Macaca mulatta: one gene and its partners. The protein of the gene in region 1 interacts with the protein of each later gene in a biochemical or structural test. Links are inferred from orthologs where the notes say so. Each region holds a gene or a part of one and is shown in the gene's direction. Other genes may lie near its edges.

Region 1 (4,502 bases):
CAAAGGATAAAATAACAATGGTCCATACTGATATAAATGATTGAATACATGGGGGAGAAAAAACAAATCTCCCATGCAGAATTCCAGATAATCTCTGCAGATACTCTGCTCCCAAGGAGGTGGAGCAAAATCCCTAACTCCTTAATGTGTGGGCTGTGCATGGGGACCTCCTTCCAAAGAGTACAGTAGAGAAAAGAGGGGTGGGGAGAAGAATAAGTGTACGGTGCGGAGACTTGATACTACCTCAGTCAAGTGATCAAGTCAGCACCAACAGTGATAGGTAATGTTGACAGTAAGAACCCTTCCTTGGTAGAATGTGATGAGCATAGCACTTTACCTCTGTGATCTTCCTTCCAAAACCCCATAGCGCTAGTCTAATCCTGAGAAAAACATCAAATTCCAGTAGAGGGCCAGCCTACCAAAGATTGTGGCAGTACTCCTCAAAACTGTCAAGGTCATCAAAAATAAAAGGCTGAGGCCAGGCATGGTGGCCCACACCTGTAATCCCAGCACTTTGGGAGGCTGAGGTGGGTGAATCACAAGGTCAGGAGATCAAGACCATCCTGGCCAACATGGTGAAACCCCGTCTTTACCAAAAATACAAAAATTAGCCAGGTATGGTGGTGTATGCCTGTAATCCCAGCTGCTCGGGAGGCTGAGACAGGAGAATCACTTGAACCTGGGAGGCGGAGGTTGCAGTGAGCTGAGATCACACCACTGCACTCCAGCTAAAATAAAAATAAAAATAAAAGGCCGAGACACTGTCACTAACAGGAGTCTAAGACATAACAAATTAATGTATCCTGAATGGAAACCTGGAGCAGAAAAAGGCATAAGTAAAAGGAAGGAAATCCGAATAAACTGTACACTTTAGTTAATATAACAACAGTGCTTCGTTAATTTTAACAAATGTAATACACTAATAATGTAAGAATTTAGTAACGGGTAATTGCAGGGAGGTGTGGCACATGGGAACTCTGTACTCTTACAATTTTTTCTGTAAATCTGTTCTAAAAATTAACGTCCATTATTATTTTTTGGGGGGAGGGACACAGTCTTGCTCTGTCGCCCAGGCTGGAGTATAGTGGTGGGATCTCAGCTCACTGCAACCTGCGCCTCCTGGGTTCAAGCGATTCTCATGCGTCAGCCTCCCCAGTAGCTAGGTGCCTACCACCACACCTGGCTGATTTTATATTTTTAGTAGAAGACGTGGTTTCACCATGTTGGTGAGGCTGGTCTCGAACTCCTGACCTCAGGTGATACACCCGCCTCAGCCTCCCAAAGGGCTGGGATTACAGGCGTGAGCCACCACGCCCGGCAAAAATAACGTCCATTACTTTAAAATAAACAAACAAAAACACGTGGCCGACGGGGGCGGTGCAGATCCGACCTTCCGGAAGCAAAACAGGGCTTTGTACCGAACAAAGATGGCGGCCGCCGGCGTCGGGAGGAGGGCTGCCCTGAAGAAAGATGGCCTCCGCGCGAGGAGGAACCGGAAGCGCGGGTCTGGCGGCGGTACTGGTTCGCGGTCGGCGCGAGAACGCGCAGGGTGGCGCGGGTCCGGGCATGAAGCTGGGCTGGGCCGCGTTGGGCCTGCTGCTGCTGGCGCCGTCCGTGGTGCAGGCGGTGGAGCCCATCAGCCTGGGACTGGCCCTGGCCGGCGTCCTCACCGGCTACATCTACCCGCGTCTCTACTGCCTCTTCGCCGAGTGCTGCGGGCAGAAGCGGAGCCTTAGCAGGGAGGGTAGGCAGGGGCGGGGGCTGGGGCGGGGGCTGGGGCGGGGGCTGGAGGCTGGGGCGGGGGCTGGAGGCTGGAGGCTGGAGGCTGGGGCTGGGAGATGGCACTAGGGCTGGGCTAGGACCAGGGGATGGAGGATGGAGGATGGAGGCGGGGGGATGGCACCGGGGCCGGACTAGGACTAGGGCTGGAGCGGGGCTTGGGGGCTGGGCGATGGCACTAGGGCCGGGCCGGGCTGGGGCTGGGGCTGGTGAATCGCACTAGGGCCGGACTAGGACTAGGGCTGGAGCGGGGCTTGGGGGCTGGGGATCGGGGCGGGGACTGGGGCTGGGGGATGGCACTAGGGCCGGGCCGGGATAGGGATCAAATCCCAGGAGGGTCGGGCCTGGGCAGAGCTGAGTCCGTGCGGGCCGGACCCCGGAAGCCGAGCGGCCCCTGCAGGATGAGGCCTGGCCCCTTGGCCACCACAGACGGGCCAGACTTCAGTTGGAGACCTGAGGAGCCGGGCTGCAGGTTGGCCTACTTTGTGCTAAGCTGGGGGTGGACCGGTGGTAATCTCCCTCCGAAGTGGGCTCTGCTTCCTTTATAGCCTAGCGGGAGACAGGAAGGATGGTGAGGACTTCTTCGGAGGCGACCGGGAGGGACCAAACTGCTTTCTTTCCCCGCCCTGCCTTGGGGTGGGAGGAGCAGCACAGGGGTTAGAGGTGCAAACTGGTGGCAGTGGCAGTGGCAGTGGCACCCGCACCAAGGGCCTTTTCGGGAAGGAACCGGGCCAGGGCTTTAGAATAGGCAGGACCAGCAAAGGGAGGGCTCCCTGGACCACCGTCCCCTCTGGGCCAGGAGCTTACAGACCGCAGTACTTGAGGTTTCACAAGGTGCTTGAAGAGCTAGACGGCTTTGCTGGCTTTCTCATGGGCTGTAAATGTGGCTGCCTTTTGTCACTGTTTCTTCCCCACTCCTGATTGGCTTTGTCTCCCCCAGCATTGCAGAAGGATCTGGACAACAAGCTCTTTGGACAGCATCTTGCAAAGAAAATCATCTTAAATGCTGTGTTTGGTTTCATAAACAATCCGAAGCCCAAGAAACCTCTCACCCTCTCCCTGCACGGGTGGACAGGCACCGGCAAAAATTTCGTCAGCAAGATCATCGCAGAGAATATTTACGAGGGTGGTCTGAACAGTGACTATGTCCACCTGTTTGTGGCCACATTGCACTTTCCACATGCTTCAAACATCACCTTGTACAAGGCAAGGATGGGAGTTTGGAATCCCTTCCTGGATGTCGTCGGGTTTGGGGTCTCTTCGTTGTGGGATGAGATTTGGAAATTCTGTGTTGAAATGAGTGAGCCCTGAAAACGGTTCACGTCTCAGTTCCCCTTGGAAAGGTGTAGAAGTTAGAGTTTGAGATGCGTGGAGCAGTTAACACCATCAAAGCTTTGTGGTGGGTTCTGAAAATCGGTCCAGTGAGTTTGTAGGGTCATGGGATTTTAGAGGTGGACATGATCTAATCCATCTTAGAGATCAACACATCTCACTCGTTTTTTGTTTTTTTTTTTCTTTTATTTTGAGATGAAGTTTCACTCTTGCTACCCAGGCTGGAGTGCAATGGCATGATCTCAGCTCACTGCAACCTCTGCCTCCTAGTTCAAGCAATTCTCCTGCCTTAGCCTCCCAGGTAGCTGGGATAACAGGCTCCTGCTACCATGCCCAGCTAATTTTTATATTTTTAGTAGAGATGGGGTTTTGCCAACTTGGCCAGGCTGGTCTCGAACTCCTGACCTCAGGTGATCCGCCCAGCTCAGCCTCCCAAAGTGCTGGGATTACAGGTGTGAGCCACCATGCCCGGTCACATCTCACTCATTTTGTGAAAGAGAAAACATATGTAGAGAGTCCTAAGTTTGTTGAACCTACTGTTGCAAACTGCCCTTTTTTTTTCTTTGAGTCAGGGTCTCACTCTGTTGTCTAGGCTGGAGTGCAGTGACGCCATCTTGTCTCACGGCAACCTCCGCCTTCTGGGTTCAAGCGATTCTCCTGCCTCAGCCTCCCGAGTAGCTGTGACTACAGGCATGCACCACCACACCCGGCTAATCTTTGTATTTCTAGTAGAGATGGGGTTTCCCCACATTGGCCAGACTGGTCTCGAACTCCCGACCTCAAGTGATCTGCCCACCTCAGCCTCCCAAAGTGCTAGGATTACAAGTGTGGGCCACCTCGCCCAGCGGCAAACAGCTTTTATGGTTGAACTCACTGATTAGCAGCTTGGGCTTTGGCAGCAGACACATCTGGATTTGAGTCCTAACACTCTCCCAGCTCCATAGTCTTAGGACAGTTGCCTGACCTGAGACTCAGGTTCTGACTTACAAAGTGTTGCTTGTAACAATCCAGGGAACTCTGTCTGTCAAGTGTGTAACATGTGCCTGGTGCATGTTACAAATAAATGTTAACTGTTGCCTTTTAGATCCTTGTAACAGACCTGCAAGGTGGGCAAAAGTTATTATTTGTTTATTTTTTGAGACTGAGTTTCACTCTTGTAGCCCAGGCTGGAGTTCAATGGCACAATCTCCATCTGGGCTCACTGCAAACTCTGCCTCCCGGGTTCAAGTGATTCTCCTGCCTCAGCCTCCCAAGTAGCTGGGATTACAGGCGCCCGCCACCACACCCAGCTAATTTTTGTATTTTTAGTAGAGACAGGGTTTCACCTTGTTGGCCAGGCTGGTCTGGAACTCCTGACCTCAAGGTGATCCACCTGCCTCTGCCGCCCAAAG
Region 2 (4,397 bases), on another chromosome or scaffold:
TTCAACGCAAAAGTCATCTGGTATACCACACAATGTCACCTACCGGGTAGTCAAAGCGTTTACCATTTTACAGTGAGTGAGATGAAGCAGAAAGGGTACATCTTAGAAGACAGAGCACAAGGCAGCCACATTTACAGAGGAAGCAGTGAGGTAAATGTGTCCCTCTTAGAGAAGTCCCAGGAAATAGAAATTAAGCAAGGCATCCCTCAGCCGGCCATCTAGTATGTTCTCCATAAATGGAGAATAAAACCTTACAGCCTTAACCTGTTACAAGCCTTGATGGAGACAACTAAAGCAAAATGATGCAAGTTTTGCTGCAGATTTCAGGGTCACAGGGAGGTGGAAATGACTGTCAGTGATGAGGCTACATTTTATTTAAGTAGAAATCTGAATCACTATAACCGCCATGGATAGAGCACTGAACACCATTTCGTAATTGAACTTGCAAGGGATTCACTCAAAGTGAATGTCTTTCGTTGCCATGTGAAGCACACAGGTCTCATCAGTTCCTTGTAGAAGATACTGTCAAAAGCATCTATTTTGGGACATGCTTATGGAGTGTTTTTCCCTACAGCTATAGAAAGCTCCAACTACCCCATTTTCCTTCAGGATGAGGCTCTGCCTCACTTCCATTATGCAGTCCCGAGGTTCCTAATAAACGCATATCCTGATAGGGATCAGACACCGTTCAAAAGATTGACCTGCCTGGCTGAGCGCGTTGTCTCATGACTGTAATCCCAGCACTTCGTGAGGCTGTGGCGGGCAGATCACTTGAGGCCAGGAGTTTGAGACCAGCCTGGGCAACATGGTGAGACCCTGTGTGTACTAAAAACACAAAAATTAGCTAGGCATGGTGGTACGCAGCTGTAGTCCCAGCTACGAAGGCTGAGGCATGAGAATTGCTTGAACTTGGGAGTTGGAGGTTGCAGTGAGCCGAGATTACACCACTGCACTCCAGTCTATGTCATAGAGCAAGATTCTATCTTGGAGGAAAAAAAAAAGAAAGATTGACTTGCCTCTGGAACAGTGGCCTCCAGATCTCTCAGATACCCTGCCATGTGATCTTATCTGAGGATTTGTCAAGAACTCTTGTTTGTCCCACTTCTTGCACTGTGAGGGAAATGCCATTTCAACTATAAACAGTGATGATATGTTACAGAAGGTCTGAATGAAGTGGGCTATAGGATCTACGTGTGCTTTGTGACAGGAAAAGTGTATGTTAAGCATTTGTAAGATTATAGAAATATCTGTGATGGCACCTTTGCAGATTCTTTTGGACTGCAACCTAGTAACCGAGTAATATATTTTTGAAAGCCCTCAGTTCTGTTTGTTTGCCATAAAGTTTATTGAGGATAATCTATGTCACATACAATTAACGTACAGATTTTAAGTTTGATAACAAATGGAACCACCACCTCAGTAAAGATATTCAACATTTTTTTTTTCTTTTTTGAGATAGAGTTTCGCTCTGTCGCCCAGGCTGGAGTGCAGTGGCGTGATCTTGGCTCACTGCAACCTCTGCCTCCTGGGCTCAAGTGATCCTCCCACCTCAGCAGCTGGGACTACAGGTATGCACCACCACGCCCGGCTAGTTTTTGTTATTTTTTTTTGTAGAGATGGGGTTTCACCATGTCCAGGCTGGTCTTGCACTCCTAAGCTCAATTAATCTGTCAGCCTTGACCTCTGAAAGTGCTGATATTACAGGTGTGAGCCATTGTACCTGGTCATCAGTACTTCAGTGCTGTAATTTTACAACTTTTAAAGATAATCTAATTTATTTGAATTGCTATGTATAATATTACATTGTAAGAATATGACAATTTTTCAAACCTACTTTCTTATTAATGAACATATAGATTTTCTCATTTTTCCTCATTTTAAACAATACAGCAGTGGATATTTTGGGGCATATGAATGAGTTTCTCTGTTATACGTCTAAAAATGGAGTTGCTGATTTGTAGAATATGTTTGCCTTAATTTTCTTTGCCATATTTCTCTCTGAAGTTGTAATAACAGTTTACTTGTCATTGGGGTTGTATTTCCTTAACTAGTCTTTTTTCATATTCATTATGTTTTCATATTTCCTCTTTGTTGAACTGCTTGTTCATCCCTTTACCCAGTTTTTCATAGCATTATTTGTCTTGTACTGATTTGTGGAATTCTTTATGTGTTCTCAATATTAACTCCTTACTGGTTTTATATGTTGCAGATGTTTTTCTAGTCAGACACTTATCTTTTAATTTTGATACCTTGTGTAGAAATTAAAAATTTTTTAATGGGGTCACGTTTGTCACATTTTACTTTCTGGTTTGTGTATTGTGTATCTTATTTAAGAAACCCTTGCAGTTATAAAGATATTTGATATTCTCAAAGTTTAAAAGTTTTACTTTTTACATTTAGGTCTTTCATATGGACTTGATTTTTATCTGAAGTAGGAGACAGAAATCTAATTTTCCCCCCATTTGAATAGTCAGTTGTCCCCAAACTATTTATTCACTAATTCATTATTTCCCTTTGCTGAATTAGCCAATTTCCTTATGTATGTATGCTGCGTATACTTCTTTACTCTCTATTCTGTATATTGTTTGTCTATTCCTGTGCCAGTGTTCCATTGCTTTTATTACTTTAAGATTTTTTTTTTTTTTTTTTTTGGTGACGGAGTCTTGCTTTGTCACCCAGGCTGGAATGCAGTGGTGCAATCTGGGCTCACTGCAACCTCTGCCTCCTGGGTTCAAATGATTCTCCTGCCTCAGCCTCCTGAGTAGCTGGGATTACAGGCATGCACCACCATGCCTGGCTAATTTTTGTATTTTTAATAGAGATGGGGTTTCACCATATTGGCCAGGCTGGTCTCGAACTCCTGACCCTTGGGTGATCTGCCTTTCTCAGCCTCCCAAAGTGCAGGAATTACAGGCATGAGCCACCATGCCCAGCCTACTTTTAAGTTTAAAGAAGGTTTGATATCTGGTAAAGATTGCCCCCTTCTTCTTCAGAATTATGCTGACTCTTCTTGATCCTTTGCTGCTCTTTTTGAATTTTAGGATCAGGTTTTCCATTTCACTAGAAACCAACAATTATCAAAAAACTTGAGATTTTGTTTCAAATTGCATTAAATTTGTAGATTAATTTGGAGAAAATTGGCATCAATGGTTTTGAGTCTTACTGTCTACTCATGATATATTTTTCTGTTTACTTATGTCTTTTTTATATACTTCAATAAAGTTCTGTATTTTTCTCTCTAAAGTTGTGTTTTAAAGAAACAGCTTTATTGAGGTATAATTTACATACCATAAAATTCACCACTGTCTAAAGATCTTGCATATCTCTTGTTGGATTTAATACTAGGTATGTTTTAGTTTTTATTCTAGGTTCCTTATGGTTATTGTGAGTAGCATCTTTGCTTTTGAAAATTTTTGTTATTGGTACATAGGAAACTTTTAACCTATTTTCTTGGTTTTGGCTGGCAGGAAAAATTTTTTTAAAGAAACTTGAAAAGGACTGGGGACTTTTTATTTTCTGTCATGAGCTAGGATAGGAGAGAAAACTTCACTGCAACATATGATGGCTTGAAAGCCCAGTCCCAGGAGCTTGAAGAAGATAAAAGCAGTGATAAGGAACCCTCCAAACACTTATGCTAAGTGTTCACAGTGGCAGAAAGAAGAGTCTGTCCCTAACTCTTCTCTTCCCTTCCAGTTTATCTATGGCATCACTCTTTATTTATATATTCATTTATTTTTTCATATGCTTTTAAGTTAAAATACAGAGTTCTTACTATACACTAGGCACCGTGTAGGCATTGGGGATGAAAGTTTTTAATGTGTAAAATTAAATTTTACAAAAGAGTACTGAGAAAAATATAAAGACGGCAAGTTGGCTAGCCTCCCAGCTAGGCTGTCAAAAAACTATAACACTTCACACAGGTTTTTCTTATATATTTTTGTATTTAAGCCTCATAGGTATCATTATTCTCATTTTTATAGGGAATGAATGTTAAGTAACTTTACTGATCAATTTGTTTTTGACAAAAAAATTAACTACAAAATATGATTTTTAATTGCTTATAAAGTGCCTTTGATTTTGATTCCTTTTGTGTAAATCTTAATAATTTTCTTTGTCTTTGAGCATTGCATAAAAAGGCATTGTATAAAAGGATATCTGTCTCCATATTTTACAAAAGAATACTTCAAGAGAACCACTTCAAAGTCAGTCCAAATGTGTAGTGGTACACCTCACAGCAGCCATCTCAGTTTGTGGGAACCTCCTGTGCCTTGTTACTTTTTAATATAAGTGAAAGCTTCTGATAGGCAGACTATGAGAAAATCATCTGGGACAGAAATTGAAGACATGCAGGAAATCTGCAGTGATTGTTTCAGCAATGACTTAAATTTCTACGCTTA
Region 3 (4,260 bases), on another chromosome or scaffold:
CCTGTAATCCCAGCACTTTGGGAGGCCGAGGCGGGCGAATCACGAGGTCAAGAGATCCAGACCATCCTGGCTAACACGGTGAAACCCCGTCACTACTAAAAATACAAAAAACTAGCCGGACGTGGCGGCTGGCACCTGTAGTCCCAGCTGCTGGGGAGGCTGAGGCAGGAGAAAGGCGTGAACCCTGGAGGCGGAGCTTGCAGTGAGCCAAGATCGTGCCACTGCACTCCAGCCTGGGTGACAGAGCAAACTCCGTCTCAAAATAAAATAAAATAAAAACTAAAAACGTAGTACACATTACGACCTAAGTAGTTGAAATTTGTGCCAAGTCTGAGCAACAAATGAGTTGCTCAGAAGCATTTTAAGGTGATTACTTGGAAGAATAAACAAACACCTTCAAACTTTTCAGAATCACTCATTGTAACTGGTATCCAAATTACAATTTTTAAAATCTGTTCACTCCAATCATAGCAAGTCCCACAAGAAGTTGTATATTTGAAGGTGATTTGAGCTTTTTTTCAATAATTATTCAGACTTTACACGAACTTAATCGACCTTCTCTGAGTGTGTCTAAATTTGGTTAGGTATTTGCAGATTAGCCACATCTATAAACATGGTATATGGAGGTGAAACAAATAGCTTTTACCATGCTTATTCCAGAAAGTCCAGAAAGCATTTTAAATCAAATGTAGAGTATCACGTCATATCCAGAATAAAAGTAAAAATAATGGATCACAACTTAAAATTACAGTACTGTCTTTAATAAAAAAACGTGTTCCTCACTGTGCACAATGTAGCACTAACATGGTCTTCCGAACAGTGCTGCTTGGTATAAAACCAAGAAATATTAAAGACCAGGAATAAGGTCATGTTTCCTATGGGTACATTTCGGAAAAGAAAATACATTCAAAGAGTATGACTGTAGACAGGATTTTGTACAACCTCAACAGGTGACAAAATTTAAAACTAGGTAACCGCCTTCATAAGGAACTTGAAACTAAAATTTTTGCCACGAAAACATGACATGTGCAAAAGTTATCTCTCTGGCCATCGCTCCTGCTAAGGACACTGGGAAGGACATGCTCAACGTAGCAGTCGATCAAAACGATTCCAGGGAAACTGCGCAACAGCCTGGGGCCGAGAAGCGAAACCTGGTCTTCTTCACCCTCGTCTCACTCCTTTTCCCGCAGACTTGGTAGTGGGAGATAGGACGGGCGTCTCCTATATGCAGTCAAAACTTGCCACGAGCGGCTCGACTTGGGACAGGCAATTTGCCCTGCCACCCTTCCGTCGCCCCCACCCCTCCTTTACTGAAGGCCGAAGGCAGAGACGTCCTCCTCCCCCTTCTCCTCCTCTTTGGTGTCTCCAGCCAGGAGGCGGGAGCGACCCACAGCAGCTGACCCAGCTCAGGCACTGCCTCTTCCACAGCCCTCAAGACACACCATGGGCCCAGAGGCAGGTTTGCTACACAGCAGCGACGACGCAGGCGGCGGCCCCGGCGACTCGCAACTGCCTCCCTGACCACAGCGACCACCGCCTAACACACCCGAGAAGCCATCGCCGCCACCGGCAGGAGAACCTAGGATCCAGAAAGCCATCCTCGCGATCAACTAAAGCTACGTCAACAACTATGGCGGGCGAGGGACCGCGGGCGGAGGCGGTGCGGGAAGGATGGGGTGTGTACGTCACTCCCAGGGCCCCCATCCGAGAAGGAAGGGGCCGGCTCGCCCCTCAAAATGGCGGCAGCAGCGACGCGCCTGCGTACGGAACTCCTCTGTCGCGCCAGGGCCGGCGGGAAGTGAGGTTCTCGGAGGAGCCGCCAGAAGTGTACGGAGACTTCGAGCCCCTGGTGGCCAAAGAAAGGTCCCCGGTGGGAAAACGAAGCCGGCTAGAAGAGTTCCGGCCCGATTCTGCGAAAGAGGAAGTGAGAGAAAGCGCGTACTACCTTCGTTCTAGGCAGCGGCGGAGGCTGCCGCGACTCCAGGAAGCCGAAGAGATGCAGACGCGAAGGGCTACCCGCCTTCAGCAGCAGTACTCACAGCAGCCTCCGCTACAGCCGTCTCCCGTTACGACCAGGAGAGGGCTGCGGGACTGTCATTCCTCTGAAGGTGAGGACCGCGGAGGTAACAGTCCCAGCCGCGAGCCAGGGAACGCGCGGGGGCGGGCGCGCGCCTCCGTGGAGCTCATCCCCGCCTGGGTACTAAGTACTGGGATTGGGTACTGGGTACTCCTCAGTCCCTTCTGGACGTGTGTCGCCGTGCAAGGGCCATCCTGACCCGCAGCGGGGAAGGAAGCGCCGACCTAAGGAGTGGAAAGATGGTCGTATGGAGCGACCCGGGCAGGGCTGGGGCGCTCTGACCAACATCGGGCATCAATTTAGGGGAGTCAGGGCTGCCTTTTTCTGCAGGCCTTCACGAGGGGACAGCGAATTACTCCAGGTTCGGTTTCATTTTGGTTTCGTCTACCCTGCGGATGTTTCTACGGAAACCACTTCCATTTCCTTTTTTAACGCTGGCAGGCCAGAGTCTCCAGCTGAGGATCAAACCTTTCAGTCGTTTTCCCTCCCCACCCAGGTGGAGAGAGAGAAAGGAGAAATTTTGTGAGTGGGCATTTCGAGGGATTGCTGAGTTTAGTTAATTGATTTGAGACCTCACCCAATACTTACACCGAAATGGGGTAACTCATTTTTCCTGAACTCATGTTCCCCAGTGTCTGATAAACTTGAGCTGATTGCTCTTTCTCCAGTGTGGTGGTCCCTGCCAAAAATCTGCCACTTTGGTGGCCGTCACTGTAACCTCAAGTAGTCTGGCAAATCAGGCTGACAAAGCAACCTGAAAAACAATACTATTAATTAGTTTTCGTCTAAATGGACAAAAGGGATGCTGACAGAGTGAATGTATAGTGTTAGGTAAGTCATAGGTGAATCAGTTTCCTTAACCTATCCTCTCCCACCCTGCCCCCCCATTTTGGGACCCAACACTGAGTCACAGATGAAGTTTCATGTTAGTCCCACGTAAGGCACCTGTGAGGTAAAAATCAGCGGACCTGAGTCACAATGGGAAGACATAGTTTGTGGTAGACTATTGATATGCGGAGGAGTGGGTTTTCAGCTTACAGCACGATGATAGGCTGCAAGTTTACCTGCTGACTCGTGAAGGTACTGACAGATTTGAAGACTTGATTTTGGCAACTTTATGTTAAAGTTGTGTCAGTTACTTTTGGGTGTAGCAACTCAAGACAGTTTAGCCCATATATATGTGTGTTTTATCTCTTTTAAGATTACAAAGTTTTGGCCGGGCGCGGTGGCTCAAGCCTGTAATCCCAGCACTTTGGGAGGCCGAGACGGGCGGATCACGAGGTCAGGAGTTCGAGACCATCCTGGCTAACACGGTGAAACCCCGTCTCTACTAAAAAATACAAAAAACTAGCCGGGCGAGGTGGCGGGCGCCTGTAGTCCCGGCTACTCGGGAGGCTGAGGCAGGAGAATGGCGTAAAAACCCGGGAGGCGGAGCTTGCAGTGAGCTGAGATCCGGCCACTGCACTCCAGCCTGGGCGACACAGCGAGACTCCGTCTCAAAAAAAAAAAAAAAAAAAATTACAAAGTTTTTGCAGACAAGGAGCCTATCATATATATTTGATAGTAATTTAAGTACTTGGTTTAATTCAGTATCTTTCAGTACCTGGAAGAATGCTTTGCACAAGGTAGGCAATAAATATGTTACATTGTATTGAGTCCCACAGAGCCTAGTGCAGTTATATAGGCTAACATTTTTTTAACAAGTAAAGAATTTACCCCTATTTTATTAAATCTTTAAAGATCTAAACATTTTCACTCTTCTGCATTCTTCCACATTGTTTGTGATTCTCTACCCCATCTTTTTGATTTTCTGAAATGATATATTTTTGTAAAACAACAGTGGCAAATATTACTATATTCTAACGAATTAGTTGTATTCTGTCCCAAGAGGAGTTCTGACTAGTTTAATTCCTAAATTTTGGTAAACCTAACCACCTGTTTCTAAAGAAATGAATTTCTTGCATTTTTGCATATGTATTATTACAAAAATGCATAATCTGTGCCATTATCTCCCAGGTCATATATTCTGAATTTTAACTCTAGTTACGTCTGTTTTTTAGAGGATGAACCATCTTCCGAAACTGATTTAAGCCAAACGATTTCAAAGAAAACTGTCAGGAGCATACAAGAGGCTCCAGGTAAGAAGAGTTGACTTTTTGTTTATCTCCTTACCTACCAACTTT

The links.
Region 2: the proteins of TOR1A (region 1) and torsin-1A-interacting protein 2 form a complex in vitro, tested with the Homo sapiens proteins (4 studies listed by BioGRID and IntAct, with this or other methods). The link is inferred for Macaca mulatta from reciprocal best matches to the Homo sapiens genes TOR1A and TOR1AIP2.
Region 3: the proteins of TOR1A (region 1) and TOR1AIP1 form a complex in vitro, tested with the Homo sapiens proteins (2 studies listed by BioGRID and IntAct). The link is inferred for Macaca mulatta from reciprocal best matches to the Homo sapiens genes TOR1A and TOR1AIP1.

What each region holds. Positions count from the first base shown.
Region 1 is NC_133420.1:17,787,320-17,791,821, forward strand, and holds the start of TOR1A (torsin-1A), read left to right. Parts: upstream 1-1,517; 5' UTR 1,518-1,566; coding exon 1,567-1,744; intron 1,745-2,719; coding exon 2,720-2,985; intron 2,986-4,502. UniProt on the Homo sapiens protein: Protein with chaperone functions important for the control of protein folding, processing, stability and localization as well as for the reduction of misfolded protein aggregates.
Region 2 is NC_133406.1:37,259,542-37,263,938, reverse strand, and holds the start of torsin-1A-interacting protein 2, read left to right. Parts: upstream 1-1,452; 5' UTR 1,453-1,568; intron 1,569-4,397. UniProt on the Homo sapiens protein: Required for endoplasmic reticulum integrity. Regulates the distribution of TOR1A between the endoplasmic reticulum and the nuclear envelope as well as induces TOR1A, TOR1B and TOR3A ATPase activity.
Region 3 is NC_133406.1:37,288,154-37,292,413, forward strand, and holds the start of TOR1AIP1 (torsin-1A-interacting protein 1), read left to right. Parts: upstream 1-1,412; 5' UTR 1,413-1,443; coding exon of another isoform or gene 1,444-1,521; 5' UTR 1,522-1,630; coding exon 1,631-2,108; intron 2,109-4,137; coding exon 4,138-4,215; intron 4,216-4,260. Other genes in the region: uncharacterized protein LOC144340607, read left to right, coding at 1,444-1,521. UniProt on the Homo sapiens protein: Required for nuclear membrane integrity. Induces TOR1A and TOR1B ATPase activity and is required for their location on the nuclear membrane. Binds to A- and B-type lamins. Possible role in membrane attachment and assembly of the nuclear lamina.